Callithrix jacchus: one gene and its partners. The protein of the gene in region 1 interacts with the protein of each later gene in a pairwise test. Links are inferred from orthologs where the notes say so. Each region holds a gene or a part of one and is shown on either strand. Other genes may lie near its edges. The genes, in order: VIM, PPL, CRMP1, NOD2, YAE1, KAT7 and KIAA0408.

Evidence for each region.
Region 2: the proteins of VIM (region 1) and PPL interact in binary tests that used the Homo sapiens proteins (3 or more experiments, as listed by UniProt). The link is inferred for Callithrix jacchus from reciprocal best matches to the Homo sapiens genes VIM and PPL.
Region 3: the proteins of VIM (region 1) and CRMP1 interact in binary tests that used the Homo sapiens proteins (3 or more experiments, as listed by UniProt). The link is inferred for Callithrix jacchus from reciprocal best matches to the Homo sapiens genes VIM and CRMP1.
Region 4: the proteins of VIM (region 1) and NOD2 interact in binary tests that used the Homo sapiens proteins (3 or more experiments, as listed by UniProt). The link is inferred for Callithrix jacchus from reciprocal best matches to the Homo sapiens genes VIM and NOD2.
Region 5: the proteins of VIM (region 1) and YAE1 interact in a two-hybrid assay, tested with the Homo sapiens proteins (2 studies listed by BioGRID and IntAct). The link is inferred for Callithrix jacchus from reciprocal best matches to the Homo sapiens genes VIM and YAE1.
Region 6: the proteins of VIM (region 1) and KAT7 interact in binary tests that used the Homo sapiens proteins (3 or more experiments, as listed by UniProt). The link is inferred for Callithrix jacchus from reciprocal best matches to the Homo sapiens genes VIM and KAT7.
Region 7: the proteins of VIM (region 1) and KIAA0408 interact in binary tests that used the Homo sapiens proteins (3 or more experiments, as listed by UniProt). The link is inferred for Callithrix jacchus from reciprocal best matches to the Homo sapiens genes VIM and KIAA0408.

What each region holds. Positions count from the first base shown.
Region 1 is NC_133508.1:18,041,871-18,044,995, reverse strand, and holds part of VIM (vimentin), read right to left. Parts: intron 1,608-3,125; coding exon 1,512-1,607; intron 1,415-1,511; coding exon 1,253-1,414; intron 556-1,252; coding exon 430-555; intron 82-429; coding exon 1-81. UniProt on the Homo sapiens protein: Vimentins are class-III intermediate filaments found in various non-epithelial cells, especially mesenchymal cells. Vimentin is attached to the nucleus, endoplasmic reticulum, and mitochondria, either laterally or terminally.
Region 2 is NC_133513.1:7,012,278-7,015,777, forward strand, and holds part of PPL (periplakin), read right to left. Parts: intron 1,362-3,500; coding exon 1,239-1,361; intron 1,049-1,238; coding exon 902-1,048; intron 246-901; coding exon 94-245; intron 1-93. UniProt on the Homo sapiens protein: Component of the cornified envelope of keratinocytes. May link the cornified envelope to desmosomes and intermediate filaments. May act as a localization signal in PKB/AKT-mediated signaling.
Region 3 is NC_133504.1:186,105,663-186,109,916, forward strand, and holds the start of CRMP1 (dihydropyrimidinase-related protein 1), read right to left. Parts: upstream 2,801-4,254; 5' UTR 2,684-2,800; coding exon 2,303-2,683; intron 129-2,302; exon of another isoform or gene 51-128; coding exon of another isoform or gene 1-50.
Region 4 is NC_133521.1:8,640,257-8,643,756, reverse strand, and holds part of NOD2 (nucleotide-binding oligomerization domain-containing protein 2), read right to left. Parts: intron 958-3,500; coding exon 874-957; intron 652-873; coding exon 568-651; intron 1-567. UniProt on the Homo sapiens protein: Pattern recognition receptor (PRR) that detects bacterial peptidoglycan fragments and other danger signals and plays an important role in gastrointestinal immunity.
Region 5 is NC_133512.1:8,032,669-8,036,885, reverse strand, and holds the start of YAE1 (protein YAE1 homolog), read right to left. Parts: upstream 2,801-4,217; 5' UTR 2,786-2,800; coding exon 2,651-2,785; exon of another isoform or gene 1-2,650. UniProt on the Homo sapiens protein: The complex LTO1:YAE1 functions as a target specific adapter that probably recruits apo-ABCE1 to the cytosolic iron-sulfur protein assembly (CIA) complex machinery. May be required for biogenesis of the large ribosomal subunit and initiation of translation.
Region 6 is NC_133506.1:116,500,716-116,504,215, forward strand, and holds part of KAT7 (histone acetyltransferase KAT7), read right to left. Parts: intron 2,369-3,500; coding exon 2,279-2,368; intron 2,092-2,278; coding exon 1,951-2,091; intron 566-1,950; coding exon 472-565; intron 1-471. UniProt on the Homo sapiens protein: Catalytic subunit of histone acetyltransferase HBO1 complexes, which specifically mediate acetylation of histone H3 at 'Lys-14' (H3K14ac), thereby regulating various processes, such as gene transcription, protein ubiquitination, immune regulation, stem cell pluripotent and self-renewal maintenance and embryonic development.
Region 7 is NC_133505.1:134,018,610-134,022,109, forward strand, and holds part of KIAA0408 (uncharacterized protein KIAA0408 homolog), read right to left. Parts: intron 1,338-3,500; coding exon 975-1,337; intron 887-974; coding exon 807-886; intron 1-806.

The DNA of each region.
Region 1 (3,125 bases):
GCCAATAGTGTCTTGGTAGTTAGCAGCTTCGACGGCAAAGTTCTCTTCCATTTCACGCATCTGGCGTTCCAGGGACTCGTTCTGCAGGAGGTGAGAAAGGTTTCTGGTGTTATTGCTCAGAAAAACCCAGCTATTCCCAGAACCATTTAGTCTTCTTGCAATAATTTCCATTAGTGGCAAATGACAACTACTCTAGTCGTAGGCGGAGAATGCAAGTACCAAGTCCTTCATATGAGAAGCAATGATATACACAAGCTAAAACCTTCAAGAGCGCCATCAAGTCCTTTTTGAGTTTGTCGTGATAAGTCATTTTCTTTGCATTACCGTATAAATTTTTATTCACTCAACATTTTGTTCAGGCTTCGCCATTAGCATAGTCAGCAGAATGGGTCATTATTTCCCCTCTTTTACTGCAGGGTTGGTACTCACGGTTCCTTTAAGAGCATCCACTTCACAGGTGAGGGACTGCACCTGTCTCCGGTACTCATTGGACTCCTGCTTTGCCTGGCGTAGGGCATCATTGTTTCGGTTGGCAGCCTCGGAGAGGTCAGCAAACTGTCGGGGAGAAAACAGAAATGTACATTGCTCCCATTCAAGTCTTGACTCTCTTAGAAAAAAAAGATCATATTTCCCACTGAATGTCTTCCAGTATAGGCTTAAATTTCTGTTTTGAAAGCCAGAGAAAGAGCAGTGGAACACTGACATTACTATCTTCAGAGTTCACTCTACTGTACTCATTTAAACACAGTGGAGGTCAAAGTATGGCATTGGGGTTTACTTGGAGGCACGGTTAAGAGGAAGGGAATCTGCTATTCTGAAGGAGGTGATATGGCCAGGAGTGGTGGCTTATGCCTGTAATCCCAGCATTTTGGGAGGCTGAGGCAAGGCAGATCACCTGAAGTCAGGAGTTCAAGACCAGCCTGGCCAACATGGTGAAACCCCATCTCTACTAAAAATACAAAAATTAGTCGGGCATGGTGGTGCTCGCCTATGGTCCAAGCTACTTGGGAGGCTGAGGCAGGAGAATTGCTTGAACCCGGGAGGTGGAGGTTGCAGTGAGCCAAGATGATGCTACTGCACTCCAGCCTGGGCAGTAGAGCAAGACTCCATCTCAAAAATAAATAAATAAATGTGAGCAACAAGTCAAAGCCAGCTTTTAACTGGAGCTACAGGATAGGAATTACACACAGGAATGGTGTTTTGAGAACTCAATGCTTTTCTTCTGTGCAGGCCACAGGGACTTGTTTCCTACCTTAGACTTGTACCATTCTTCTGCCTCCTGCAGGTTCTTGGCAGCCACACTTTCATACTGCTGACGTACGTCACGCAGGGCAGCCGTGAGGTCCGGCTTGGAAACGTCCACATCGATCTGGACATGCTGTTCCTGAATCTGAGCCTGCAGCTCCTGGATTTCCTGCAAAAAAAAAAAAAAAAAGCAGATAGAAGGTCAGCTGTGCCAACTGTGGGGGTTGCCTTACCTTCATTCATTTCCCGAAAGACACTCTACTAACCTCTTCGTGTATTTTCTTCAAAAAGGCAATCTCTTCTTGCAAGGATTCCACTTTGCGTTCAAGGTCAAGACGTGCCAGAGACGCATTGTCAACATCCTATTTTGAACAGAGAAAAGACAGGACATGGAGGATGTAAAAGTCTATGGCTTCTCTCACTTATTCATCTTAGATTAACCATCTAAACCTAGTCTCCTTACTATAGAAAAGGTGTTGACAAATTTTACCACCCTTGAGTAAGTTTAGAAATCATTTAGTGCTATCATATGCTACGCTTTCTCCTGCTCACTAATAAATTTTAATCATGACCCCTTGTGTTTTACTCAAGGTGGTGATCAGACAATTTTAAAATAAATAAATGTCTACAAATGTGGTAAACTGTACGCAATCATGACTGAATCCACATTTTACCAGTGACATTTTAAAATTACTTTTTAAGACTCAGAGTAGTGGCTCATGCCTGTAATCAACAAAATCCAACCTGTATAGATCAGGGGTCAGCAAACTGCAGCCCGTGGCTGTCTGTTTTTGTAAATAAAGTTTTACTGAAGGCTGGGCATGGTGGCTCATGCTTGTTAATCCCAGCACTTTGGGAGCCAGAGGCAGGGGATCACCTGAGGTCAGGAGTTCGAGACCAGCCTGGCCAGCATGGTGAAACCCCATCTCTACTAAAAATACAAAAATTAGCTGGGTGTGCTGGCACACGCCTGTAGTCTCAGCTATTTAGGAGGTTGAGGCAGGATAATTTCTTCAACCTAGGAGGCGAAGGTTGCAGTGAGCCGAGATCGTGCCATTGCACTCAAGCCTGGGTGACAGAGAAACAGTCTGTCTCAAAAAAATTAATTTAATTTAATTACTTTTGAAATCTAGAAAATCTCTGTCATAACATTTTTAAGATTGGTTTTGTAATTTCATGGAATAACATGATAATAGACATGGACAAAATTTCACAACTTCATGTACACTTGAGCACATAAAGAACAGAAACTCATGCTTTAAGAGTTTAAGTTTTTTTCTCCACTAGAATCTTCTGAATCTCATCCTTAGGCTCCAGAGCAAATATGTAGCCATCTGGCATCCATTGTACAAGGCTAGATTTATATTCAATAATAGCCCAATTCAGGAATATGGGCATTGCCTAAGATTCAGTTCAGGAAAAAATGGAAAAGACACGTAATTCTTAATGTATTTGCTTTGCTTTCTCTGATGGAGTTTTCTTCTAAAACTCCTTTGGCTCCTCTCATAAAGGCATGTCTTTTTCACTTGCTACTGTATCAGTTCAGTTAGCCTGTTTCTGAATCACTGACCAAGCTTGCAGATAATGAAACTACATGAATTTTTGCTGATTCAGCTGTCCTTCTATGTTTCCATTTGTAAAGGGCAACATTCCAAATCAGAATATGTACTTTTGCAACTAAGATTTTATTTTCTCTCTAAAGGATGCATGAGGATTGCTTATCTTGTCAGTAATTATATTTGGAGTTCAGTTTATACTCTTAGAGTATTAAACTGTTGAGACTTTTCTATCATCTTTGGGAAAAAATGAATGAAGAGTGGGTGATAAAAAGATCCAACTTAATGAAAACATTCATTTTTACTTGGTAAGCCCTAAAAAAG
Region 2 (3,500 bases), on another chromosome or scaffold:
AGGCTGAGTCCGAATGCCCAGGGCTGTGAATGGGGCCTGAGAAGCCTCAGGAGTAGGGCTGGTCCGTGCAGGCTCCCGCCTTTGCCCTTGTACCTGTCAGCCAGAGCCAGGGCCTCGGGGTCTGTGGGGGGGATCACAAAGCAGACGGCAGGAGCGATCAGCCTGTTCCCAGTGCTGTCTGTGAGCTCCCAGCTCTCCCCGTTGTTCTTCTGCAGGGTGTAGCTGTAGCCCCGCGATATCAAGCCCTAGCGGGGGCAGGCCAGACAGTGAGGATCCCGGCAGGGGCTGAGGAGTGAGATGGCCTGGGAGCCCGGTAGCCATCTCACTCCTGCACCCGACTCTTGAACCTGAGGAGCCCTGGCTCTTTGCCTGGACTCTGCCCATCGAGTTGGGAGGGGCACGCAGGAGAGACACAGGTGTTGAGGCTGCCAGTCCAGCAACCCACTTCCATTTCCCTTTGGAGAACCTTCCCTCCTGATTCCCAGTCCCTGTGGTCTCATTCCTTCTCCATTCCCAAGCTCCAGATGGACACTGACTTGGATCTGGCCAATGAGACTGGCATTCCCCAGCCACAGTCATTGGTATAGGGTGGACACGAATTCTCCGGCCACAGTGATTGGTGTAGGGCAGACACATGACTCACAGTGGGCCAATGAGAACCTGCCCTGGGACTTCTGGGGAGTGGCTGGGGTTGCTAAGCAGGTGGAACACAGGCCAGGCCAGCTGGGGTGGGGGTCACATAGGGGTGTCAGTGTACCTGCATGAGGGGAAGGGTGGGCAGAATGACACCAACCATGGAAACAGGCAAAGGTTCCCAAGAACGTTGCCTGAGGCCCCGCATCCAGCCATGTTACCCCAAAGACTTTGTAGTGACGTGAACAGAGAAGCTGGCCCCACGCACCTGTTCCCCCTCAAAGTCACAGAGTGCCTCCACGGGGATGGGCTTGAGTGGCGTCTCCCGGCGGTACTTGAGGGGCACCACCTGTTGGCCTCGCTTCTGCAGACCCCGCACCACGTCCTCATACTTGTCCAGCACCTTCTCCTGGTCCTGGAGAAAGTGGGGTAGGGGACCCGGGTGAGACCAACAGCCTTTCCCCTGGTGGGAGGGTGCTGTGTGGGGGCTGGGATCAATAGGCGGGGGCTGTGGAGGGGCCTGTCCAGGGTTGAGGACGGGAGTGGTATAGAGGGGTCCCCGCTCCCCTGCCCCAAGCCAGCAGGGGTCCTGGGCCATTGCTCACATCCAGCTCCCGCAGTAGCAGCTCAATCTGGTACCGGTCCTTGAAGTCGGGGCCGTATTTCTGGTTTAGGTCCGAGTCCACCTTGCGCAGCAGCTCCTGAGCGTCCTTCATGTCTTTGTGGAACTAGGGGAGAATGTGGCCCTGTCACAGCCAGGAAACCACTAGAAGCACCTGGGCTTCTGTCTGAGGCTTCAAGCTCATCCCTCAGATGGGACGCTGTGCTGAACCTGAGGCTCCCTTCATGGAGACAGCCCCACCCTCCCCGAGCCAGCTCCTTGGGGAGAAGCCGGGTCCTTTCCCACCCATCCACGAGATGACACCTCTGTGATATGCTTCCTTTCATATACAAGTAAGTTTTGGGGTGTCTTTGATTCCATTCCTCTCTCTGCACTAGGAACACCCAGACTTTATACCTTCTTTCTAGGTTTTGATAATAACCTCCCCTTTATGTTCTCAAAAATTCTCTTGCCCATTCTTCAGTCTATGAACTCTTGGGTCACTGTCTGCTAACCCCTGGCCCAGCAATTTGCCCCTCTCCTGCATGAACCTCCAAGGGGGTACAGAGGGGTGTGTGTCAGCAATCCCCCCTCCCCACAGGCTGAGCACTTGGGCTGCAGCCATGAACAGCACCTGAAGCCCCCACTGTGCCGCTCAAGACAGTGAACGAGGAAGGACATGGGGTTGCCCACATCCAGCTTCCCCCCAGACACCTCAGTCCTAAGAGTCACCCGCAGCTTGTTAAGAACTCTCATTCCTCTGTAAACAGACAAGCATCCAGCCACAGATGAGTGGATACACACTGGTCTGTCCGTACAATGGGATATGATTCAGCCATGAAAAGGAGCGAAGCACTCAAAATGCTACGACACGGATAAGCCCAGCAAACATGATGCTCAGTGACACAAAAGAGCGGAGACTGCATGATTCTGCTTATCCTCCACATTCACTCCAGATGTGAAACATCTGGAATAGGCAGGTCCACAGAGACAGCAAGCAGAACAGAGGTGACCAGGGCTGGGGAGCAGGAATGGAGACTTACTGCCTAATGGGTACAGGTTTTTTTTTTTTGAGCTGGAGTCTCTCTCTGTCACCCAGGCTGCAGTGCAGTGGCAGGATTTTGGTTCACTGCAACCTCTGCCTCCCAGGTTTAAGCGATTATCCTGCCTCAGCCTCCCAAGTAGATGGGATTTCAGGTATGCGCCACCATGCCTGGCTAACTTTTATATTTTTAGTAGAGATGGCATTTCATCATATTGGCTAGGCTGGTCTTGAACTCCTGACCTCTGGTGATCCATCTGCCTCGACCTCCCAAAGTGCTGGGATTACAGGCGTGAGCCACCACGCCCGGCCAGGGTTTCTGTTTGGGGTGGTGGAAAGAGTTGGATAGCTAGTGGTAATGGTTGCATTGTGAAACAATGAATGCCACTGAATTGTACACTTAAAAATGGCAAATTGGCCGGGCACAGTGGCTCCTGCCTGTAATCCCAGCACTTTGGGAGGCTGAGAGGGGAGGATCACCTGAGGTCAGGTGTTTGAGACCAATCTGACCAACATGGTGAAACCCCATCTCTACTAAAAATATAAAAATTAGGCCGGGCACGGTGGCTCAAGCCTGTAATCACAGCACTTTGGGAGGCCGAGGCGGGTGGATCATGAGGTCAAGATATCGAGACCATCCTGGTCAACATGGTGAAACCCCATCTCTACTAAAGATGCAGGAAATTAGCTGGGCATGGTGGCGCGTGCCTGTCATCACAGCTACTCAGGAGGCTGAGGCAGGAGAATTGCCTGAACCCAGAAGGCGGAGGTTGTGGTGAGCCGAGATCGCGTTATTGCACTCCAGCCTGGGTAACAAGGGCGAAACTCTGTCTCAAAAAAAAAAAAAAAAAAATATATATATATATATATATATATATATATATATAAATATAAATTAGCCGGGCGTGGTAGTGGACACGTGTAATCCCAGCTGCTCAGAAGGCTGAGGCAGGAGAGTCACTTGATCTCAGGAGGCAGAGGTTGCAGTGAGCCGAGATGGCACCATGGCACTCTAGCCTGGGTGACAGGGCAAGATTCTCTTAAAAAAAAAAACGCAAATTTTGTTTTATTTATCTGCATATATATTATAGGTTTTGCAAAAATTAAAACCCCACACACTCATCCCTGGGCCCCATGTTCCTGAGGGTCAGACTCTGGCCCCGGTCCCCAAGGAGGATGGACAGGGGCCAACAAGCTCGGGACATGTCTGCACATGCCATCAGA
Region 3 (4,254 bases), on another chromosome or scaffold:
AAGCTCCAGAGCAAGGGACAAGACCACGTGCGTATCAGGGGGAGGAGCATTCTCCTGCCACTGGCCAAACAGATCGCTGCTCCCAAGCAGATTTCGCGGGTACAAAGCGCCGCAGCCGCTCAGCCTCTGGCAGCTGCAATCGTTGCGCCTGCGCCTCAGAAAACCTTCCTGCAGCCCAGGGAGAAGCCTTGCGGGCGGGGGAAGGGCCGGGGCACCCGTTGCAAAGCATTGGAGCGGTGAGGCCCGCCCCGGAACCCTCGCCCGCTGTAACCCAAGCTCCACCGCCGTTCTCTCGCAGAAAGTAAAACCCTCCCTCCGTGGAGATCGCGATCCCCTGAGCTCAATAGTCGCAAAACTCGAGTGCTTTCGGAGCCCTGCGCGCGCCAGAGGCGCAGCCTTTTGTCCGGTCCCTGAGAAGCCATGGAGAAAGGCAGAGGGGGCCGCAGAGAGAAGAGGAAGGAGCAGGAGAGGAACGGGAGAGGTGAAGCGACCAGCGTCCCCAAGCGTTAAGGCGCAGCTGCGGGGTCGGCCCAGGCCGTGCCCCGGGGGCGATGCTGCCGTTTGTGACATTGACCACAGCTCCAAAAGAACTCGCCTCAGGACAGCTACGGGCCGTGCACAAAGCGCCCTTGCCTCCCTGGTACTCCACCACGCCTTGAGGAAGGTCGAGAGAAGACGGCCACCCCCATCTGATAGATGGAGAAGCTGAGGCTCAAGAGAGCAAAGCGCCTTGGCTGGAAACCCGGGTTCCCTGGTGCTGGTCCGGCTTCTCGGCCCGCGGCCCAGAAGCCTCCCCATAGGGCTCTGGAGTTTGGATTGGATCCCAAGCGAGGTCGGACCACCAGGGAAGGCAGTGGACAGGAGGAGATAAAGAAGGGGTGGGGAAGAGGAGGCTGGACTCTCGCACCATCTCCCTTTCTGACCACTCCACCACCCTTGCTGTTGGACCTCTCTCTCGGGGAGGCGCCGGCTTCAGGACCACGGAGAGCTCCGGAGCTACAGTGAGCCCGACTTCGAAGGGATGGGGTCCGAGGAGGCCCACCACCGCGTCTACCAGCCCCCTGCTCCTATTCCTCCAGGAAGCCCTCTCAGATATTTGCCCCGATAAGCTCTGCTTCCCTTCAGGCTCACTTTAGGTCACTCACAGCATTTAAGAAGGAAAGATTTAATTAAAATGATGATCGTAGTAAAAGTCAACAACAAACATTTATTGAATGCTCATTACCTACCGGCATTAACTGATTTAATTCTCACAATGAATCCGTCGCTCACCCTAGCCTGGGAACTTCTGGAGGGTGGGGCCAGGTTGCAGAGCCAGGGATCTAGAGCCTACCCTGGGCCCGGTACCTAGCAGTTCTCAGGCATCCAGTTCTGGGCCAAGCCGAAAGCTTCCCAGCCCTCGGGTACTCCAACTGCGGTTTTTCCGGCACCTGACCCTGGCTCTCGTCGGTCTATCCAAAGGTTATGCCATCCATCCGCCCTTCTTCCCCCAGTTCCCTGGTGACCCCCAGCTCAAGGGAGAATACCCACAGGGTCCCTCTCCCTGATCCTCCCGGTCCCATGTTCAAGTCTGGAAGGCTAGAAACCCCGATTCAAAATCCCAGCTCTAACTCCACCTTGCTCTGTGAAGCAGGCACACTGGTGTGTGCTGTGGAGCTCAGGAGTGCCCCTTGAATATGTTGGCGCTTGCGGGTAGGGGCTTACGGCTCCAACTGCCCGACGACCTAAATCCTTCACCAAATCCTTCCCCCCAGCAAGCATGAGGGGAGCGCTCGGGATAAAGCTCCTTCCAGCTTGAGGCTGTATGGCCGCAGGCGACTCGCGGAACCTCTCCCGGGGCCCAGCACACAGTAGGTGCTCTGTAATTACTACCAAGTGAGTGGATGGATGAATGGACCAACACGGAACGGAGCTCCAGTTCTTTTCACAAAACAGAATGAAGAGCCTGGTTTAGATTCATCCCAGAGGTTCCCTGGCGTTTTAAGCGACCATGAGGTGGCTTTAGCCAACTTACTTCCCCTCTCAGAACCTTGCTCTCCCTTTCTGCAGAAGACGAGCCGCGACTGGACCCGGGAGATCCCTTCGGAGTCTCACGGACCACGCCGGCCAGCCCTGACCGAGACGCACCAGCTCTGGGAACCTCTCTCATGATGAGGTGGGGGAGGGGCCGCCCCCTGGCTCTCCCCAGCCTGGCGGCTGCTGCCCCAACACCCGGGACCCAGGCACTGCCCTCGGGCGGCCCACGCCGGGGTCCTCCCCGGCCCCGCCCCCCTCGTCCGGCCCGCGCGCTCCCCGAGGGTACCTGGCCATTGTCCCGGCCGAGGGGCAGGTCGCGGGGCGCTGGGCAGCGGATGCGCAGCGCCGGGGGCCGCTCGTCGCGCTCTCCGGGCGAGCTGACCGCGGAGCCCGAGGGCTCGCTCACGTCGCTGGCCGTGTCCTCGCTGCCGCCCGGCCCCGGCAGTCCGACAGCGTCGGGCCGGCCAGCGCTGCGCGGCGTGCGCGCCGAGCCGCGGCGGCCCACGCTGTAGGCGTCGAAGTCGATGGTCTTGTTCTCGTAGGCGCCCTCCACCGCGGCGAACATGCCGCCGTACTTCTGGCGCGGGGTCTGCGCCGCGCTGCCCGGCCGCGCCAGGTACACGGGCAGGTCGTCCTCCGTGTTCCACGCGCGCCGCCGGTCCGCCATACCCCTCCAAGGCCGGCCACCCGCCGCGCTCCCGCCCGCCCGCCCGCGGCCCTGGCCACCACCGTGCGCCGCGCTCCGCGCCTCGGTGCGGGCCCGCGGCGGCCCCGGCGCGACTGCGGCCCGGGGAGGAGAGAGGCGGGGCGGGGCGCACGCCGGGGCGGGGCCGGGGCGGGGCCTCCGGGAGGCTGCGGGCTAACGGCGCGGCCGGCTACAAAGGACCGGGAGGCGGGGACCGCGACTGGGGCGGGGAGGGACGGTGACGCGCCGGAGCCGCAGCGCGGAGGGCGGGCCGCAGCACCGCAGTGCCCTCGCCGCACCCCCACTCCCCGCCCCCAGGCGGAGCGCAGGGCGCCAGGAGAGCGCGGGCCGGGAGCGGTGTGCGTACACCCGCACGCCCACATGCTCCGGAGGCACACGCGGGTTCATACCGGCACGCCAATTACACCAAACACGAGAGATACACAGACATGCTGACACGCACACGAGTCAATTACACACGCTCTCCCGAGATACACAGGGGCTGGTTCATGCACACCATACTCAATGTTGTACACACATACACGCACACATGCTTGTGCACATTCCGCGTTCATTACACACACACCAGAAAATCTCATTGTCTTACAACTGCACTCACACACAGCATCACACCAAGATTAACTGCACGACTGAAGAGGCACATGCACTGGACACACCGTACATTCCCTCAGCATTATTTTACTGAGCGCCCACTAGTGCCTGGCACTGTTGTAGAAGCTGGGAACAGAGCCATGGACGAAACAGACCAAGTGCCTGCCTTCCAGGAGCTGACCTTCTAAAGAGAGGAGGAGGAGGTGAGAAAAGCACCCGCATGGTGGGCCCAGGGGTGGTAAGGGTCAGGAAGGGTGGTGCAGCAGCCAAGAGGGACATGCTAGAGGCATACTCCCACAGACACGCAAGAGAAGTACATTTTTGCATGGGAACCAGTGACACACACATACACGTGCACTCCAGTGACACCACACGACACACCAATATCAAAGGCAAACTCAAGGTGAATCCACACGTGCATCGTAAACTGACAACAGGATGCCCACACACTAGTCCGCACCAGGGATAAGGGAGTCAAAAGCTTAAATGAAAACGCTCCAGAGAAAGACGCCCAGAGACACAGATGACCACACACACAGCTGGCAGTCAACCAGACAGATCTCCCCCAATTCGAGGGGCACAGTCTGCTTTTGTTGCTCCTGGAGCTTGTAGCCTGGGCATTCTGGGATTCCTCTGATGTGGGGGTCGCTCTGCTGGGGCTCTCTTCTGAGGCCAGGCACCACCCGCCTCCTATGGACACTTTCCCTTATTTCTCAAGATTATCAGGCAGAGGACCCTAGAAGTCCCTGGAGACTTTGCAGTCCCAGCTGCACTTTCTGGAGAGGCAGGATCCCAGCTGCCGACCCTTCCTCAGGCGAGTCCAGACAAGCAAAGTCAGGACTGGATGGGGACTGCAGAGGGGAGCACCAGTACTTCTTGCAATGTCCCATGCTGGAAGCTGTCCTTTCAACTCCAGGCTCTGCCAGCTGCAAGCCAGAGCT
Region 4 (3,500 bases), on another chromosome or scaffold:
GGAAAGAGAGAGAGAGAGAGCCAGCCCAACCCAGAGGCCAGCTAGAGAGGCAATTTAACAGTGCCAGGTAGGAGAGAGAGACTCCAGTTGAAACTGGGAGACACTGAAGCAGCAGAAATGCAGACCCAGATGAGACTGCAAACCTTGCATGCTCTGAATGGTGAAAGGACCTTCTGGGAGTATTGCAGCCACTGGCTGCCACAGCTGGGGTGGCAAGTAACTGCGTATGCCTCCACCAGTGAGACAAGCTCAACATACATCGTGAAACTCAGTCACCCCAGAGAGCTGTGACACTCTTAGACACAGAAAAGGAAAGAGGACTAGAAAAACATTTTTGCCCTATGGGTTAAAGGTCAAAAGACAGGAAGCCCTCAGCAGGGCTAGTCCAGAGTTTACAGGGGAGATGATGGCAGTACACAGAACCCCTGCTCAAAATGACACACTGCCCCTACATTCAATCAGAAGGTCAGCAGCCAGTGTGGGCAGCACCAGGCCAAGACCAGACCAGACTGACTCAGCTGTTGGGCAAAAAATAGTTTCCAGGGAATAAGGAAAACTTGGGCTCACCTCAATGCCAAGAAGTTCTGCTTGCACGCAAGGAGCTTCGCCATGGAGTGTGCACAGCCGTCGGTCAATTTGTTATTGAACAGACTGTTCAGTTTCCAGAAGAGAGGAGACACAGAAGCAAAGCACACTGCACAGGGAGCACCCAATCCCAGGGTTGCCCTTCCCCTCTGGGCAGGAATCAACTGCACCCCCCCATCATGCAAACAGCCCCTGCCCCAGCCCATCACTCACAGCTACCCAGGCTGCATGACCGGGGGTGAGACCAGGGGACTGAGGGCCCAATGTCCACAGCCCAGGCTGACTTACGCTAACTTCTGCAATGGCTCGCAGTGAAGAGCATGTTCAATGAGCTTGCAGACGCCTCGGTCTGAGATATTGTTATCACGCAAACTAAAAGAGACAAGATAAATACATTTGAAAACGGAGCTGGAAAGACAAGAAAAAAATCTACAAATCTACAAAAAAGACTTTCATTCATCCCTGAAGTGCCAGCATCTGTGCTTCCAGGAAACCCTGCAAAGATGGAGCACCCCAGAAAAGTGGAGACCCCAAGGTCCCTGGCGGGGGAGGTGACGTGGTGTGGTGCTCTATGACAGAGACGGTCCAGGACGTAGGGCCCAGATCTGCCACTAAAGCACCCGGAATCCTAAGGAAATCACAGAGCTAATTTGAAGCAATGTTTCCATCTCTGCAAAAGGAACATGATAATCACAGCCTCACAAAGGGGACGATGGTGGAAAGGAGCTGATATATGGGAAAGGTACAGCCTGAACTAGACAGGCTACCCCTGGAGAAATTTACCATCACCTAGGCCAGCAGACAGTAGACCAGCTGGATGAGACCGGCCACAAATTTTGGAAACAGGCAGGCAGGCTGTGGCTAGTGCCCAGTCCTTAACCCCAGTGATAACACTCCCACCCGCCAGTCCCTGCCCAGCAAGCCTGGCCTGCCACTCCTCTTGGGGCACCATTCCCAAAACTCACCTGATCACAAGTTCATCTGAAAGCTTCCCTAAAATACAGATTCTCAGGCCTGTATCCTGGAGCTGGTGATCCAGTATGTGTCGGGTGGGGCCCAGGGATCTGTATATTTTAACAACTGTGCACATGATTCTTTATCTTCAGGCAAACCTGGGAGGCCCTGACTGAATATTAACAGCTCAGGCTCTGGAGCGCCTCAGCTGGATATTGTGAATCTGATCAGCCACTTACTAGTTATCTGTTGGTGTCCTCATCTATGATAACAGTATTATCAGCCTCACCAGGCTGTGTATATAAAGCCTTGTGAGCACCTGGTGCATGGTAAAAACCACCTAGAATCGTGATCGCTAGCCCTGGTCCCTATCCTTAGCACTGCCCGATAATAACACTATTTCATCCTCACGACAAGCCAGTGAAGCAGGTACCATTATTTTGTGCATTCGTGAGAAAGGAACTGAGGCACAGACAAGTGAAGTGACTTTGCCAAGGATACACATAAAGGCTTTGAGCCCAGGCAGCTTGGCTCCAAACCCCACTCCTAACCCTGACATGGTGCAGCTTCTCCCTTAGGGCCTCTTACGGCCACTTCTCTAGAGCAGTGATTTTTTAGACTGCAGGCTGTGGGACATGCAAACCATTTTGAGGTCCTGAGCAGCATTTCTAAAATACAGATTGAACAGAACAGAAGAGAGCACAGTGCATCAGAGTTCACAGAGCAAAGCCATTTCATGAAGCTTTGGTTTCACGTTTACACGGTGGTGGGTGTGCTCGTTCACTCTCTGTCTGTCTGTCTCTCTCTCAATCATTGTGGGTCACAGCCAAAAACTTTGAAACCCAACACTCTGGAGTCAGGAAGAGCCAGAGTGTAAAGAAACCTATGCAGGGGCACTGTGTATATGGGGTTTCCTAGAGGCTGAGGATCTCGGTTGGCATGGAAACACTTCAAGTGGGAGAGAAACAGGTTGGCACTGTGGGAGAGCCCTCCTCCTTCCTCCCTTCCTCCCTTCCTCTCTCTCTCTCTCTCTCTCTCTCACACACACACACACACACACACACACACACACACACTGCACTCACAGCAACCTCATGGTTGCTTCCCCTACCCTACGGCCTTGGCAATTTTAGTGTGTGTAGGGTGAAGAGCAGAACTTGCTCAAGGACAGTAATTGCTAATGGAAAACCAAGCTGGTTGCTGCTGACCAGTAGTTCTCCCAGGGTGAGACCACTTATATCAGAATCACCTGGGTTGTTTGTTAAAAATATAGATGCCCTGGGCCCCACCCCAAATCTACTGAATGGGAATCACTAGGGGCAGGCCCAGGAATCTGCATTTCCACAAGTGCCTTTACACACCACAGTCTGAGCACCATGAGCTAGAACCAGGCCATCCTCACCTTTCTCTGAAAATAGAGACAGACCCACAGGTTTCCCAGAGCCCTTCTGCACATCCTGGGAAGGGACATCCCTAACCAAGAATGGAAGATCCATTCCAGAATTCCAGGGATGCACTGGCCTATGAGGATCACACAGGCCAGGAGTGCCTGGTGTCTTGGGGTAAAAACTATGAGTCTACTACCCAGGAAAATGCACAATCTTATTTCTATCAGGAAAATTGCTCCAACAGATAGGTTTCCAAATTCCCACTCAAGTGTCATGATCCTCCCTCCTAGGGAAATAGAGTTTGGTGCTGGCTGTCTTCCACTTGCCTGGCCACATCCACTCTCTCGCTTCTCCACCCGTCTCTGGCTCATGGGAGGCTGATGTCTGAGGACTACTCCAGCAAGCAGCCCGCTTGGCCTCCCTAATGGGTCCAGCCAGTGGAAGACGCTGGCCAGAAGCAAGGATCGGGGAAGGGAGTTAGGGGCCAGCTGTATTCTTCCATGTTGCAGAATCTCAGGCAGCCCTCTCCTTACCTTCCCCCCAGGTAATTAGTCTCCCTCCCGCTGCCCCTTC
Region 5 (4,217 bases), on another chromosome or scaffold:
TCTTAGTATTATGATTTTGATAAAAACAGAAGATTGGTCATTTCTTTTAGTTTGAAGTGAACTGTGACTTGCTTGTATATTGCAGGGTTCAGTCTAGATTGTCATTAAATCAGAGACTACATTCAGAACATAAAAGCGCTAGTTATATAAGTTTGAAATATGATTTAAGCACTGTTGATGATGGTTTAAATAGTTCTCTAATTTTTGAACTATTGTGCCAAGCAGTAAGATGTATGTATATTTATTTAATAATAACCTGTTTCAAGTCAGATTTGAAAATTTACATTTCCCAAGTATTGCATTATTGGGGTGTTAAAGATTATTTTAGAGAAAAATATTTCTTATTTGATATAATTTTTCTTAGCTTCACTGTGTGAAAAAAGGAAGATATTTCCCATAATGGGAACTCTGATCATTGTCTTAAGAAATATGTATGTCAGTGACAATTCTGTGTTCTTTTCAGAAATATATTCCAAAATTTCCTCGTATTTTTAGGTTGCAACTAATAAAAACTACCTTATATTAATTTATTACAGTTTACGACACATGCTAATACAGGATATGCTAGTGACTTAGGAAGTTTTTAAGTCCATGGTATTGTCTTGATTCCAATAAAGGCTGACTTTCTCTTGTATTTTTTATTTACTATGGGTTACATTTTTTTTATTTTTCAAATTGGATGATAATTTCCTGAATTTTTTTTTAATGTTTTAGTAAACAGCATTTCTTTTTAGATCCATCAATTGAACTTTCTGTTGATAATTTAAAATCTTGGCCATTCATTTAAGATTTTATATCATTCTTGCTGAACTTCTTGCTGTGACTTGCTTGTATATTGCAGGGTTCAGTCTAGATTGTCATTAAATCAGAGTCTACATTCAGAACATAAAAACACCAGGTATATAAGTTTGAAATATAAGTTTGAAATAATTAAAAAAATTTTTCTTTTTGGATGTGAAGGTGAACATTCCTGACTTTTGTCTCATGTGGAAAATCCTTGGTATTTTACATTTTGAAAATTCTCAGAAGCTTAATATAAAACAAAGTTTGCATTCTACTCAGGAAAAAGCATCTTCTTGTATATATTTTAAATATATCTTTGTCCTCATATACAGAAAGTTCTTAATTGATTTTACAGTTTGTAATGCTTGATGTTTTAAAATCATTAACATTTTCATAATTTTTAAGAGACAAACTTCATGTTCTCCTGTTCTTTCCTGACTGCTAATATTGTGTGGTATTTCATAGGTAGAAATCAACAGGAGGGAACACTTAGTGTACTTTTACTCATTAAAAAGCTAGAATACATATAGTTTTGACTTTACAAGAAGGAGAAAAATCATAAATACAATGAATCAACTGACCGTTATGTAGTGGACAATGTCCCCTTCTTTTTAGGCTCTGTTGCTATATGAATCCATTAGACTTACAGTAGTAAAATGTACAAGTTTTCTCTAAAGCCCTCTCCTTTAGAATATAAAATATACCACTGAAGAGTTTGGATGTGTAACTTGTAATGCCTTAGAAAAATATCCTAAGCACAAAATAAACTCTTCTAACGGCTTCAAAAGACTAAAAAAAAAAAAAAAAAAAACCAAAAACTCAGTGTTAGCAATGTCTTCACAAAATGAATATATGGAAAAATACATATCTGGGCTCTTGCCAACTGATTGGAATGGTGTGGGTGGGTGAGGAGACATGGGAAAGCAGAGAGAGAAAATCGTTTAAAAAAAAAGGAAGATAAGTCTGGTTTCAGTAATTTTGCTTAATCCCTAAATTCAACTAACCTGCAAAAGCTCTGTGGGTAGTGATTTCATTCTGCATCCCTTATGGTGGCCACAGCGCTCAGAAGATGCTCAATACTTACTAGGGTAGCCCCAACCTCACATAAAGCATTTTTGTAACTGACCACTTGGTTTTTGAGCTAAGCAAATAATACTTTACTGAAATATTAAACCAGCGCAGATACCCAACTGCAGCGTTAGCGGCAATTTAATGGTTGGCAAATATATTAAGTGGATGTGGACCTCACCATTTGGTCCTCATTCAGAACTCGGTTCTGAAGTCTGCTCACAGAAATTAAGCTTAGTTTCAATGAATAGTGAGACAAACTAGAGATGAAAAAGTTACATCTAACAAATAAAGAAGAAATCAACTTTAATATTCCCTTATCTAGACACCAGTATTCCACATTAGCTTTCCCTTATTGCCCTCTGACAGCACTCTTAAGTTCATCTTTTCAGTATGTCTCGATTAATACCACTCCTTAACTTCAGGCTCCCGATCCATTCAAGCAATTAATATAAACTGCCTACACATCCTTTGACAGCCATAATTAGTAGAGTCAGTGTATGTTTCCCCCCAACTCCTTTCCCTGTGATCCTCAACAAATTGCACTGTTTAAAGTCCAGATACAGTAAAATTTAGTCGGTCCTCAGCTTCTAAGCACCCCGTAGGCGCTCAAAGAACGCGTCCTGTTGTTTCGTACACTTTCAAGTAACCATTGAGAAATCCTAGCAAGACGCGGGTTGGACCGCGTTCCTACGGATAAAGAGCGGAGCGCCGGGCCACGCTGGTGCCCTTCTGGACCCAGCTTCTTGACAACTCCGCGCCTCTTTCCACAACCCAGCACCCCGCGCCGTCCACCCACGTTTACTTTGACTCGTCTCTGCATGTGACTCTGCCATTCCCGCTGCACCAGGAGCGATTCATCTGCTTCCTCGTCAAACACGTCCCCTTCGTCTCCAGGGCCACGGACCGAGGATGCCGCTTGAACCCACGACATCACCGAGGCAATTACGGTGTTACAGGTCACCGGAAGCGCCGACAACTCCTTCCGGTCCGAAGGCGGGGCGAAGACAGCAAATCGGAGCTCGGGAGGGGGCTGCGCGTGCGCGGGGGCGGGCTGTGGCGGGTGGACGCAGCCCCAACCTTCGCTTGCGGTGATTTTGAGCGAAGTCATTGATGTGCACCTGTCGGTTGTGAGCGAGGCGGACTTCCTCGCGTGGCCGGCACGACCTTCACCTTTGCAGAAGGCAGCCAGGACCCTCAGTGAAACACCTTCCATTTCCACCGTAGTCTCTACCATGGTCTGGATTTTACACACGCGCACATTGGTAAATTGTTAAAAGCAGTAAAGTCGATGGGCGGTTATCGCCCAAAGTCGTTATCTCTGTTGGAATCTCCTCTGCATTTAAAGGGTTTGACAAACCGACATTTTTAACTGTTAGGCTTGTGGAGCAAAGGATAATAGAATCGAAAAGTCAGATACTGCAGCCAATTTGAGATCAGTAAGAAAGAGAGAGTACGTTTGTAAAGCCAAGGCGTTTTTTTCACTGATGCACAGTATCCTTCTGCCTCCCATTTCTATTCATACGCCCCAAGGTAGACTGTTGATTTGGTAAGGGTGGGGACTTGTGTCAACACCAGCACGGTTCTGACACATAGTAGATGCTGATCTCGATCTTGGTAAATGAATAAACTCCTGTAGTATTCCTGTTTTGCCCATTGCCTAAGTGAAATGAGTCATGTGATAATGATTTAGTTATCTAACAATTTCTTGAACACCTACCTTGTGTCAAGCACCATTCTAGGCTTTCGGATACATCAGTGAACAGACAGAAGTTCCTAACCATTTTTGACTTTATAGTTATGTAAAATTGACAGGTTAAACAATAAGCAATATGTAAGTAACATAAGGTTTGTTAGATCATAAATAAATGCTATGGCTCAAGCCTGTAACCCCAGCACTTTGGGAGGCCGAGGCGGGTGGATCACGAGGTCAACAGATCGAGACCATCCTGGTCAATATGATGAAACCCCGTCTCTACTAAAAATACAAAAAATTAGCTGGGCATGGTGGCGCGTGCCTGTAATCTCAGCTACTCGGGAGGCTGAGGCAGGAGAATTGCCTGAACCCAGGAGGCGGAGGTTGCGGTGAGCCGAGATAGCGCCATTGCACTCCAGCCTGGGTAACAAGAGCGAAAACTCTGTCTCAAAAAAAAAAAAAAAAAAATAAGTGCTATGAAAAAAATTTAAAAATAAGTAAAGTAAGAACCATGAGTGTATGGGAGTGGGTTTTTGGTTCACGTTACAATATTAAATCTCCAGAGAGAATTTGTCATTCCACAAATAAAAAGGATATAAACTATAAATATGTATATTTTATTAATGTAAATATATTAAGATATGTATATATCTTAATTAGGAACAAAATG
Region 6 (3,500 bases), on another chromosome or scaffold:
AAATGTTAGGACTGATTTGGGGGTTAAAAATAAAATTTAGTGAGTAAGCAAATTCACAGACAGAATCCACAATTAATGAGGGCAGAGTACATTACACTAAGGGTCCATCGGGTATATATATTACCTCTAGACAAGTCCCTACAAAAGTGAAATCCCTAGCATCAAGAAACAGATTTTTAAGCCTCATGCATGCATGTGCTCTTTAAAAGTCGCAAACTGGGATAATCCTAAAGAGCTTACATTATCATCCTCTGTACCTCCTACTAATTAAGTATTCCTTCAATGTTCAAGGTGTATCAGGCAGAATGACAATGTTCAGGTTTTTCCTACTTGTTCATTCATTTACTAAATATCCATGTACCTCCACTACATTCCAGGAATTGCAGAGACCACAGGACAAAAAGACAAACAACAACATTCACATGGTCCCTGCCATAAGTGTAGAACTTATGACTTAGCAGTTTCACTTACTGAAATCAATGAGCATCTTGCCATAGCCCTGTCTCATGTACTGAGGCATGGTAAGGATACAGGATACGTTGTAGTTGAGGAATGAATTCTTTTCCTAAAATCAAGAGCAAACAGATGAGCATGTCATGAGGATTTGAAACCAAAGATTTCAGCACTTCCACAGATATAAAATAAGGTTGCTTGCAAAACACCTGGCTAACCAGTCCCAAGGAGTGGCTGCCAGGTGCATAGCTGTTATATCCACACCTTTTATGATGGCTAAAGCCATTAATCATCCAGATTTCCCTAACTGAGACCTCTAGTCTCATTTTAAGGGGGCTGACTCTGAGTTCCTAACAGCCACAGAGCAGGGCAAGAAGGTTAAATGCAATTTTTGAAAAGGAGCTGCCTACTGGAAGAAAAGGGAAGGAAAAAAATACAGTAGGTCCCCATTCTGCAAAGGGTAAAAAGAGCAATCACACTGAATCAAATCAAAATGTATGATTCCACTTATAAGAAATGTCCAGAATAGGGAACTTTATAGAGAAGGGCTGAGAGGGACTGAGTGAAAACAGGAGTGATTGCTAAGAATTTCTTTTTAGGATAATGCAAACTGGGTTGACTGCACAACTCTGTGAATACACTATAAACCACTAAATTGTAGCCTTTCAGTACGTGAATTTATGGTGTATGAATTATATTCCAATCAAGTTGTTACACTAAAGGCCATAAACAATATCTGGCCTTGGTCGTGGCACGGTGGTACACACCTGTAACCCAGCACTTTGGGACATCGAGGAGGGTGGATCACTTGAGGTCAGGAGTTTGAGACCAGCCTGGCCAACATGGTAAAACACCATCTCCACTAAAAACACACAAAAAATCAGCCAGGCGTGGTGGCGGGCACCTGTTATCCCAGCTACTCAAGAGGCTGAGGCAGAAGGGTCACTTGAACCCAGAGGTGGAGGTTGCAGTGAGTCGAGATCACGCTGCTGCACTCCAGCCTGGGCAACAGAGTGAGACTGTCTCAAAAAAAAGAAAGAAAGAAAGGAAAAAAAATCTGGCCTTGGGTCTTTAAAAGGCACAGTGGTGTTATCACTGAAGGGACCGTGTTAAAAGGAGTCCAGCTAAACAATCAGGCTAAAGGAGTATATCCCTGGTTTTAAGCTAATAACACAGAGGCAGGCAAAGCCAGGAGAGTTGGCTTGACTACAAGATGTGGGCTTGCGGGATACTAAGGAGGGCTCTGCCCAGTCACTAATAGGCAGCTCCAGTCCACAATTCTAGAAATGAATAAACCAGAGCTTTTAATAAAAACTTCATTTTCATTAAACAATCTTTGATACATGTGTTTGCCTTTCGTAAAAAATTTATTTAAGGGATGGGGTGTCATCAACGCCCAGAGTACAGCTTCTTCTGTCAGTGATTTTAGCTGCCCGACTGCCAACATCGATCACCCTGCTCTGGCCACTGGCTTATTCATCTCCAGATCCTGCTTACCTTGGAAAAATATCCAATCAGGTGACAGCCAGTGTTGTCCGCCTCTGTCATAACATAGAACAGGAAGGGTTCCACATCATAATATAATGTCTTATGGTCCAGAAAAAGTTTGGCCAACAGGCACAGGTTTTGGCAGTAGATCTGGAAGCAGAGAGAGAAACAGAGTTCATGTGTGGGCCACTGATTCCTAGACAGATAAAGGCCTAAAATTCAAACATACCATAATTGTTAATGAAACATGTCCTCCGAGATGTGACAGAGACAAAATACATTTCTTCTGAAACCTCTGAATATACATTACGACTCCTTTCTAGTCACCACTTTTTACCTTGTTTTTCTTGCCATCCACTTCAAACACGGAGATGGAACCTTTGCGATATATCTCATCACCAGGTGGGTGTTTCCACACACACTTGGCCTGCAAGACAATGAAATTCACATCAGGGAACCAACACCTCCCAACAAGACTGCTTCTCAAAAAGGAAAGAGTAACAGGTCAACTCTGGTTAATGAGCTATAGGACAGTCGGACACGCTGAGAACATACAGCAAAACAGAGATTTTTTTTCCATAAAACAAAGGCTTCCAAAGTCATTTGAATATATTTATGACACTTTTATAGCAATCTGGAACTAAGTATTCTGGCTTACATTCTGGCACTGCTTTAGCCCAGGAGATTAAAATCACCTACTACATAAAGGCCAAATAAATAAGAATACCTTTGCTTATTACCAAATGCCTCAAGCCGGCAGGAAATTCTTAAGCAGCTTATTTCCAGAAGCTTGGGGTGGCTAAGTACTTTACTCTCACCTTTACCCATAACTTCTCATTACCACCTAATCATTATGGTCTTCTTTGTTCAGATTAGAAAACCCACTCACGATGGTAAAAACCACGCACTACTACCTGTCAGCCCTTCTCCCCTTCTCTCCTCAACAAGGAGGAGGTTCCTTGTTGCATAAGGAAATTAAGACAAAGTCCTGTGACTTAAAATAAAAAAAAATAATAATAAAAAAAAAAGGCAAGGCAGCCTGGCTGAGCAGCAGAAAGCTAGGGTCACTTGGCCACAAGGGGGCACAAAGTACCCCCTTTTCCTAAAGCCTCAAGTGCTAATTATTTTAATGCAGCCCACCAGCCAGCCAGCCATCTGCAGTTAAAAGTTTGCATTTTTAAATGTTGTATAAGGCCAGGCACTGTGGCTCACACCTGTAATCCTAACACTTGAAAGGCTGAGGCGGGCAGATCACCTGATGTCAGGAGTTTGAGACCAGACTGGCCAACCCATCTCTACTAAAAGTACAATTAGCCAAGCATGGTGGCAGACGCCTGTAATCCCAGCTACTTGGGAGGCTGAGGCAGGAGAATTGCTTGCACCTAGGAGGTGGAGGCTGCAATGAGCGGAGATAGCACCATTGCACTCCAGCCTAGGTGACAGAGCAAGACTGTCTCAAAAAAAAAAAAAAAAAGTTGTTTAAAAGCATAGATATATAAAACTCTTTTTTGAGATTAGGGTCTCCTCTGTCACCCAGGCCGAAGTGCAGTGGCACAATC
Region 7 (3,500 bases), on another chromosome or scaffold:
TACAAGCATGTGCCATCACACCAGGCTAAATTTTTTTATTTTTAGTAGAGATTGTGTTTCTCCATGTTGGTCAGGCTGATCTCGAACTCCTGACCTCAGGTGATCTGTCTGCCTCGGCCTCCCAAAATGCTGGGATTACAGGTGTGAGCCACTGTGCCTGGCCCACTTACTAATTTTTTTATGGAGGGTCTACCTTAATTAAACACCAAAAAGAGTAAAGAGTTACTAACAGTCAGATTACAAAGATAATTGGAAGATTTGCTTCAAAAATTAGTGAACAGAGAAATATACAATTATAGTTTCTGGCCTTGTGCTGTGGCTCACACCTGTAATCCCAGCACTTTGGGAGGCTGAGGCAGGGAGATTATTTGAGGTCAGTAGTTCGAGGCCAGGCTGGCCAACGTGGTGAAATACTGTCTCTGTTAAAAATACACAAAAAAATATATAGCTGGGCATAGCGGCTTGTGCCTGTAGTCCCAGCTACTTGGGAGGCTAAGGCAGAAGAATTGCTTGAACTGCTAAGGCAGTGGGTTCAGAGCGAGCTGAGATCACACCACTGCACTCCAGCCTGGGAAACAGAGCGAGATTCTATTTCAAAAACATGCACTCCAGCCTGGGAAACAGAGCGAGATTCTATTTCAAAAACAAACAAACAAACAAAAAATTAAAGTTTCTATCTCCCACCCTAGATAATGCATTTTAATAACTCAATAGTTCTTACATGTAAGGAGGAAGCAGTTTGGATTCATTAAAAACAATATTCTTTTTGATTTACCAATCTAAAATAATCAGATGTATCTGCCTACCTTCTATGGTTAGACCGCTTTTGAATTTCCTCTTGAAAGCTGCACAGTTCTTCACTAACCTTCACAAGTTCTTCAAGAGCCTTTACACATATAAGCAACAGCTCGTTACCACTTTGAAATGTAAATATTTCTTTAGAAACAGTGCTAGGCCAATCACGTCTTACTTACTGTATTGAGGGCGCCAGAACAGCTCTTGTTCTCTTCCTCAGAAGTACTCAGGTCAGGCCAGGCCTCACATTCTTTTTGGGTGTCTGTAGCCAGAGGATCCAAAAACCCTACTTTTGATTTTTTTGTTGCTTTTTGTTCCTTACACATTTGATTTCCTCCACTGACTAAGCTCTGTTCTGTTTTATTTTCATTTCTCAGACCATCTTTGAGATTCATCCTTGTAAATTCACATTGTCCTACATCAGGGTAATTTGGGGAAGATTCTACTATTTTGTCTGGAATGGTCTTCTCATGGTAAAGATCAATGATCTTAGCACGTTCATTCATATTGATTTTCCTCCGAAGCTTTACTTCCTGGCAAAGCTGTAAGAAAACAAAATTAAAATTTCTTTTCCCCTAATTCACTTTGTTAATAATACTCTTGATACTAAGCAAACTGCTTTGAGGTCTCTTTGCCTTATTCAAATATAATTCCCGGTGCCTCTAAAATATGGATTTGCTGGAACAAGTTTGATGAAACATAAAGGCTACTTTTAGCAGGGCAATACATGGATGCAGAGTCTTTCTGACTAGCAATCAACTCGTTCAAAAATAAAATAAATCTGTATCTGTATATAAATACAGAAACACTGTCACAAAATTAGAGTGGTCTGAATCAATTACTGGCCATACTACCTAATTGCTTTTAGGGTGTAGTGAGAATTTAACAGTAAAGTCATAGTTTTAAAATGTCTGGTCCTACTTGTACCCTAATATTTAACTGTCTAAATAAATACTTGACAATCTCATATAGTAAGTCAATTTATTCTGGTCCCTAAATAGTCACTTGTCCGTCAAAGGATGTTTCCTTTGATTGGTCAATTACATTGATGAGGGCTAAATATTACTGAGATTTAAAAAATTTGTCAAGGTGATACACATTTTTAAAAAGTTTCTCATCTAGATTAAAACAAATATGATAATACCCTACATGATATAATAGAACTGCAAGGCTTTGATCATCGATTAGTCATATTAAAGCAGACCCCAAATAACTTCTTTATGACATCTTAGTTAAACCTGCTAAACACACTCATTCACTTCACTTCTGAATAGAGGAAAGAAGTGGCTTTCTCTTTAGTCCTGAGTCACGTAAAATCTTGTCAAACTGCAAGAGACTGTCAGATGACTATCAAAGCAAATGACTCTATATTTAACAGCCACAATCAACATCTACACCACATGTATTATTCAAGTAATATAACAGATTTATTGCTGCTTAATATATACTGATAACTCAGTTGAGAGAAGCACTAGAAATTGATGCCTGAAAAATATATGTGCATTTATTTTTCTAATGCTTATAAATTTATTAGTATTTATTATATGAAGTCAGGATAGCATCAAACTGAAGCCATGCATCGATCGTTCGGTCCCTGCCAAATTATTTGTACTGAACTTCTGTGGGCATTATGATTTGGGCAGACCTTGAGGGATATTATAAGAAGCAACCCTAAAAAGTGACATGTTAAATTTAAGGATGGTGTTGGTGACACTGTCCTGTTTTTGAGAAGTCATGGGTGAAAACAAAATTGCTTTAGTTGCAAAACCAGGGGGAAAGCATGCTATTCCTGGGAAATAAATTTGCCTTATCATTTGAATTTGAAGATACATGCACCTAATAATTTTTGTTAGTTACTAGAAAGACTCACTGGTACATTTCACATATGATCCTTCCTACTGTCTTCAGCTCATCTTTCCATTTTTGTTTTTGCATATTTTATATTATACCTAATTTTATGCCATCTTAAATTTTCTTGGGGACTTAGGTGAGGTATGAATAAACAAATAACAGTGTTATTGATGGAAAACGATTTTGTTCAAGGGAATCTAAGTTACTTGGTACTCAGCCCTTGTCAATGGTTATTTGATTATTCTATCAAAGGATACAGGCAGGAGACTAAAGTGTGAAAAAAAATTCCAGATGTCTATAAATTCTATCCAGAGTTTCTATCTGGATTATTCCAAGTTTCAAATAATCCAAGTATGAACATCTTGGTTTTGTCACAGCAAATGCAATGATTGTGGATAGTGGCTGAACAGAGAACTATGAGCATCTTAATAGCCTGTATCCTCTCATTAGATGTTATCACTTAAAATCACTGAAGATATATGTGCATACCTGGGAATTTACAATTCTCCAGTATATGGCTTAATGATTTACATCTGATTTAATACAGAGAACTTTGTGATAAATGTTAAACAAATTCAGTTATGCTTATGGCATGAGGTTATTTGTCCAAGTGTTGATTTCTTAATTTTAGTTTAAAAAATTTTATGGATTCTCTGCGACATGTGAAGAAACGTTTCTCTTTTTTCTTTCTGTTTTTTTTTTTTTTTTTTGAGACGGAGTTTGCTCTTGTTACCCAGACTGGAGTGCAATGGCGCGATCTTGCTCACCGCAACCTCTGCCTCCTGGGTTCAAGCAATTCTCCTGCCTCAACCTCCCGAGTAGCTGGGACTACAGTCCCGCGCCACCATGCCCAG